2 linked regions of the Oryzias latipes genome follow. The protein of the gene in region 1 purifies or fractionates together with the protein of each later gene. This does not show direct contact. Links are inferred from orthologs where the notes say so. Each region holds a gene or a part of one and is shown in the gene's direction. Other genes may lie near its edges.

Region 1 (3,655 bases):
CGTGTCTACTGTCACTGCACCTATCCAACTGTCAATCTCACTCTACCTTTCCCTCACTCATGAACAACACCCCCCTTGGGGCAGGAGCTTTCCACCCAAAGAGGGCAGACAACCTTTCTCCAGTGTAGAATTATGGTCTCCACCTTGGAACTGTTCTATTTTATTCAGCTGCTTCACACTAGACTGCACACCACCCCAGTGGCACTGATGGCCCTGGTTGGACAAAGGCTTTAGAACAACATCATCTGCTGACCCCATAAAGATTATGAACAGAACCAACTGAAGAGGGGTCCAATGTGAACTGGGAACAGGTTCGACTTCCCGCTAATACAAGCCGAACTACCGCTCTGTAGTAGGGGGCCCCAGACTCCACATTCCCATAGCTCCTCCCACTGAACACTGTGGGGGAGAAGATGAAAAGCTGTCTCCAAATCCACAAAGCCCAAGTGGATTTGACATGAGAACTCTTGTGAACCATCCAGCTCTCTGCCTAAGGTGTACATCTGATCTGCTGTTCCAGCATCCCATACTCTGAGGGGCAAAGTTAACAGTAATAAAGACAAACGGTCGGCAATCCACAGAGCAACCAAAAGCACGCTTTTAATTACACATCACATACATCAAGGAATTGGTTGGTTTTTCGTCATAACGTTCATGTGTGACGGCGGTTTTTGGCTCAGTGTGAAGGAAACAGGGAGGCTGGAGCTACTAGCTTGACATTTCCCACTCCCTCTTGTTTAGTTTTCCTGTCTTTCTCTGAAATGCACATTGACACTCTGTCTCTCATTTCCTTTCAGGCCATCTCTCAACAGGACTTGGTTTACATGGCCATCCAGATCGCCTGTGGAATGAGCTACCTTGCACGCAGGGAGGTCATACACAAAGACCTGGCTGCGAGGAACTGCGTGTGAGTGTCCCTAAAGCGCCTCTGGTTCTTCCTCGCAGCTTTCAGGTGACTCTTGTTTTGGGATTTGGTTAGGAGCTAAGGAACACACCTGTTCTGTCCCTTGTCCTCCCTCTGACAGCATTGACGACAGCATGCAGGTGAAGATTACAGATAACGCCCTGGCTCGAGATCTATTTCCCATGGATTACCACTGTTTGGGGGACAATGAGAACCGACCCGTTCGTTGGATGGCCCTGGAAAGCTTGCTCAACAACGATTTCTCCAGTGCCAGTGATGTGGTAAGAATTACAGCAGCAGAAGAAACCTTCCTGTCTTCCAGTAGGATGTACTTTCAGGAAACATTTCCAGACGATGGTCCAGGAAACGACTTTAGCGTGTCTTAGTCTTTCTGAAATTCTTGGTCAAGGTGTTAAAAGGGAGGCCCCCCACCCCCGATGCTGCATGTGTCCCTGCTTCTCCCTTCCTTCCTGTCCAGAGACAGCAGAGTGGCGAAGGCAGTGGCTTTCGGGAAGCCTGAAGCCCCTCGGAGGCTCTGACATGCCCTCCACCCGCTGCCAACATTCCTCTTACGGTCATGCTGCTTTGTGGCAGCCATGGTTGTAAAGCAGGAAGCTAAGCGCCTGTTGAAATCCTGACATGCGGCTGTGCATCACTGCTATGCAAATAAATAGTCACTGGCCGTGTTTTTGCTTGCGTCTGTTAGAGCACCGTGTCATCGTGTTGGCATCTTGCTGGGAATGGTGCAGTGGGAAGTCCTCTCACTGCGTGGATGTTCTTTCTTTTCTTCACACCCGTTTTCACCCAATCACAGCTGCTGATGTTCTGAAACCCATCCATACTTTGGGAGGGGGGTACGGATGCCAGGTTACTACCAGCTACTTTGGTTTCCTATAGATTTAAGCTTGACCTTCACTTCTTCCATAGGGTCATTTTGCTAAATTTTTTTTCTCCTATAAATTTATAATTGAGTAACAGACGGGGATTCTGACGCACAGCAGAATATATTAATATAACATTCCAAAATGCAAACCTAAGATTATAGCCTTTTAGGCTCCTTTCCATCTTTAGTTCCTATAGAACAGGTTGATGGTCTTTAAAGAAAAAGGTGAGTTAAGTCAACACAGAAGAGACACAGATGGGGATGTCAATAGAACAACACAACAGGGAATTCATTGACATAGAAGCAACAATTAAGGGGGGAAAACATACAATATAAATGTATACAGATGTGTGGGGCAGTTTAATTGTCTAAAACAGCTCAGAGTTGTCTTGTAGATGCCCCGACTGAAGGCGCTTGTCCTGAGGCGAGCAGTGCAATCACCCCTGGATACTGCTCCAGTAGCCCTGTTTGGGACTTTTGTCTGTAGTTTGCACCCTGGGTCTTCACGGCTGACATGACCTTGGATACAATGAGAGAACCTCAGGGGCGGCCGTGGTGCAGCGGTAGGGCGGTTGACCCATGATCGTAAGATTGCAGGCTCGATTCCCGCCTTGCACGCCCATGAGTCGATACGTCCTTGGGCAAGACGCTGAACCCCACCTTGCCTCTGGTGGGAGGTTGGCGCCATTGTTCAGCGTCGGAGCCGCCACCAGTGTGTGAATGTGTGTGTGACTGTAAAGCGGTTTGGGCCTTGTAGGTAGAAAAGCGCTATACAAGTCAGTGTTTTTCAACCGGTGTGCCGTAGGAGATGGTCAGGTGTGCTGTGGGAAATTGCCCTCATTCACTGATCTAAAAACATTTCCATCTCCAGGAAATCAGCTCTTTGTTCATCCAAACAGGCCCTGATAAATCACTGAGTAGTTAGGAATATGAAAGATCATAAAATACTTTTTTCTTGTGTTTATTTGATTCTATTAAAGACATTTTGATAAGAATGACGGTACCACGATTTAGCTGCAGCATCAGCTGTTTTCGGAACAGTCCCGCCCCTTTAACTGTCTCCACCAATCATTCTTGGAGGCTTAATCACACATCATCAGTCTGACCAATCAGAAGTGGTTAAAGTCTTCACTTCCTTGTTCTGATTCTGCTCATAAGTCTCTTAGTTCGAAAAAAAAAAACAAAAATACCAGCTAAAGCTCGTCTTCAGCGGTGTAGCTTTCCACAGAATCCGGTGTCAGACCGTGGAACAAGTGAACAAAACCATGAAGCTCAGAGACGTTAGTCCGTCTGCGTTTGCCAGCTATTCGCACTACATCTCCCATAATGCATTGGGTTAAAGTGACAGCGTCTCAGCGCACAATGAGTCTTGACGTCTTGAAACCACAACCCACACGCATCAGTTTTTAAATTTTCTAACTTAACTTTTATTACATCTTTCAGAAAAAACAGCTGCAGCTTCCAGCTTTTTCTGCAACAATTATCTCAAAAATGTATGTGAGATTGTGGAGGGACTGTAGATCAATACAGACTATGAGTTTATCCTTTTTTTCTTTTTCGATGCTGGTGTGCCGCGGGATTTTTGTCAAGGTTAAAGTGTGCCGTGGCTCAAAATAGGTTGAAGAACACTGGTATAAGTATACACCATTTACCATTTGCTATTATTGGTAGAAAAAACAGGTTTGATTGAAAACTCCAAAAAGTTCCCTTCTGGGCTTAAGAAAATAAACAAAGAGTGAGAAGAACTGCAGTAATTATTGTTCTCATTCCTTAAAAGAAGTGACTTCTGAAGATGCATCCTGATAGTAAAAAGATGTTTGTGTCATACTTTGTCATGCTTTGAGACTGAACTGTGGCGGGAAAAATCC
Region 2 (3,655 bases), on another chromosome or scaffold:
GGATGGGGGCGACCCTCCCAGATCAGCCACTGCTACGGTCTCGCTCTTTGTCATGGATGAAAATGACAACGCTCCAACAGTAACTTTCCCCATAAACAGCTCCTACACGCTCCTTCCTCCCTCAAGTACTGTCAGGACGGTGGTCAGAACGGTAATAGCCACAGATACAGACACTGGGATAAATGCAGACCTCAACTACAGCATCATCGGGGGAAATCCCTTCAGGCTTTTTGAGATTGATGGGGCGACTGGGGTCATATCGCTGATGGCTAAGCTGGAGCAGAAGCATTATGGCCTCCACAGACTAGTGGTCCAGGTGACTGACAATGGGCAACCCTCTCAGAGCACCACCACCTTGGTTCATGTGTATGTTAATGAGACTCTATCTAACTCCACAATAGTGGAGACCCAAGTGGCTAGGAGTTTGAGCACATCTCTGAACACTAACATTGCAGGGGACCCCAACTATGATCTAAGCAAACAGCGTCTGAGTATTGTAATTGGAGTGGTGTCAGGCATTATGACTGTCATCCTCATCATTCTGGTCGTTGTTATGGCCCGTTATTGCCGTCCAAAAAACAAGAACGGCTACGAGGCTGGCAAGAAGGATCACGAAGACTTTTTTACGCCGCAGCAGCATGAGAAGTCTAAAAAGCCTAAAAAGGATAAAAAGAAACAAAAGTCCAAACAGCCTCTCTACAGTAGCATCGTCACCGTAGAGGCCTCCAAACCCAATGGGCAGCGCTACGATGGCGTCAGCGAGAAGCTGTCGGACAGCCCCGGCATGGGCAGGTACCGCTCGGTGAACGGCGGGCCGGGGAGCCCAGACCTGGCACGGCACTACAAGTCCAGTTCGCCTCTTCCCACCGTCCAACTTCACCCACAGTCACCGACAGCGGGAAAAAAGCACCAGGCAGTTCAGGACTTGCCCCCTGCCAACACCTTTGTCGGCACCGGAGATAACATTTCCCTCGGATCTGACCACTGCTCCGAGTACAGCACTCAGACGATCAACAAATACAACAAACAGGTAAGAAAAGCTCACGTCAGTTGTCCCTTGTTTCCCTCCACCACTCCTAAATGTCTCCTGCTTCTTCTTCTTAGTGTCCTTTCCACCATAATGCTTTCTGACAGTGCTAGTCTCAGTAGTCTTGTTGCCTTTATGGTGCTAATGTGTGTCAAGTTAGTGGTATTGATCAGTTTGGGGTTTGGAGTGCCATTCACATGTTATGTGGGAAGAAATGGAAAAGGTTCAGAGAGGGCTGGGTAGGGGATTCGGTTACCCCCTCGACTAAACATGTTTGACTGTTTTCTCTCACATCGCAGGCTGCCTTTTCCGTCAGGGGCGTCAAAGCTACTAACCCCGGCAAAAATGTGTTTGAGGGTTGCAGACAGCTCACATAAGGACTTGGTTTGCAGTTATTACATCCCAAAGGTTGGGTGATGAGAGCTGGCAACAATCCCCTCACTGTCCTTAGAAGTGTCAAGCCATGACCTGCCCCCTCTGGCGGTTACACTGCTTGCCCTTTCGTCTTATGAAAGGGAAGGTGTGAGGAACAGAAGATTTGAAAAAAGGTTGAAAAATCAACTTGCTTGTGGTTTTATAACTATTAGAGTTGCTGTTAGAGGGGAAACGCCTAACCAGGAGGCCTAATTAACATTCCACCTTGCTTTGTGGTTTGCATCAATCCATCGGACAGCAACATTCTCACATCGTCACTGCAACTCAGCGTCTTATCTTTTTGCCTGCGTGCAAATATCCACCTCTTCTGGCCTCTTTTCTACTTTTTTTGTATAGCTTTTTTGCACAGCCTCCAACCAAAGTTTTACAGTTGGAGGCTGTATTTGATCAGAGATTTTAATTCCATGAGATTTGGGAAACAATCCTTATGTTCCGCTACAACGGTAGAGAGACATTCCCTTTAAACCCTCTAGAACAAGTCGATTTTCTTTGGGTTTTTTTTCTTTATTTTTTAAGGGACAATAACACCATCCCTGTACATTACAGTTTTAATGAAATATTGATCTTTCTTTTACTTTATTTCAGTTCTATTCCTTTGGCATTGAAGACTTGTATTGCTCCGGTCATCGCATATCCAATAAGCGTCCGTTGTTGGGTCTCTGTTTTAAACCCCATCCATCAATGGTCGAGTATAGAACTCGTTTGTATCCTGTACTTCCCCAATTGCCGCCTTTGGTCCAGTGCCCCCCCCCCCCCCCCCCCCAGCCTCTGCTGCATCATACTACTTACAATAGTGTGCTTGTGCCTTGACTTGTCTTCACATCTCTGTAACTCCCATCTGGTTTTTTTTTTCACCACTATTTCTCATCTCAAATCATTTCAGTTCCCTTTTTTTTTCCCCGCAGCTCTCCCCTTCCCTTTTTTTTCCCTCCCAGGCTCTCTGTCTGTTACAGCCTCTAATATGGTGTATTCACTGAGCTGCTTCCCGGAGTGTGAGGAGTGCTGTTGCTTTCGGATGTCTCCTGCATAATTAAAAGGGCACTCTATTTGCTGCTGCGGCAGCAGCATATATTGTGTGTCACTATGCTCCGCTTATATAATTATTTATTTACTTTCTGCATTAACGCTGCAGGAATTCTCATGGAACCATTCAAAAGTGAAAATATAGTGGAATAAAGTTGTAATCTTTGAAATACACCATAGTTTGTATCTACCGGGCCGCGCAGATGGGTTCGTAATCAAATATAGAGCATCCAGCAGTTATTCGAATTACAAATTTGTACCCATTAGGTTGGGAAATCCCAGACAGTAAAGACTTTTCTCAATCCTGAGCGCGATTGCTGTGCAACGGCAGCTAATTGAAGGGAAGGTGTTTGCTCATGTGCTCCAATTTATGGCATTAAACAGCTACATCTTTATCAGATTAGGCGGGGAAGCGGTCATGCTCTTGGCTTTAGAGACACTGCGTCTAAAAATATATGCTTTTGTCTGGCCTCCTGAGCTTGAGACAACACTCAAGGACACGTGTTTGTGCGTGTGTGTGTGTGTGTGTGTGTGTGGGTCGGAGGAAGCATGGTGTCAAAACCTGAATCATAGGGGACGCTTTAAGCATAAAAACTCAAATAAAAACAGCAGTTTTTGTGTTTTATTTTGGCCATTAAACATATTCTGTGGTGTTTTATTTATTTTTTATTGTGGTATATTAGTATTCCAGACTTTTTTTGAGGATGAAAAGATAGACTCAGTTGCAGAGAATGGCTCTCACTTTTTCTTTTTGGGACTCCAGGTTGGGTTGGACAACTAGAGATGACGGTGAGAACCAATTGGGCTAAACACTAATTGTGGTCATAGAGATATAAGATTTCGCCTTAGTGCCCTTCTTCTCTCACCTGAACACACCATTCTACCCAAGATAACTTGCAGGAATAGGTAACTAGGCAACTGGGGGAAAGCAGATCTTTGCTTCTAGCCCACCACTTAATGAGTGTCAATGAAATAAGATTTTGTTCGTTGCCTAATCTGACTTTTATTTAGTTAATAGTCTTGTGATTTCCTTTGCTACTTTTTTGGCCGTAGACGTTATGCTCCACCCTGTTTTAACCTGCTTGGAGTCGATGAAGTGCTTTCTCTTACCAGTGCACTCGATTTTATTACTTTATGCAGACCGTTCACGCTAGCGCCGGAAAATAATGC

The links.
Region 2: the proteins of ryk (region 1) and pcdh7 purify together in Homo sapiens (affinity purification with mass spectrometry; 3 studies listed by BioGRID and IntAct, with this or other methods). This does not show direct contact. The link is inferred for Oryzias latipes from reciprocal best matches to the Homo sapiens genes RYK and PCDH7.

Annotation. Positions count from the first base shown.
Region 1 is NC_019862.2:2,768,321-2,771,975, reverse strand, and holds part of ryk (tyrosine-protein kinase RYK), read left to right. Parts: intron 1-797; coding exon 798-907; intron 908-1,025; coding exon 1,026-1,185; intron 1,186-3,655. UniProt on the Homo sapiens protein: May be a coreceptor along with FZD8 of Wnt proteins, such as WNT1, WNT3, WNT3A and WNT5A. Involved in neuron differentiation, axon guidance, corpus callosum establishment and neurite outgrowth.
Region 2 is NC_019876.2:16,449,512-16,453,166, reverse strand, and holds part of pcdh7 (protocadherin-7), read left to right. Parts: coding exon 1-1,030; intron 1,031-3,655.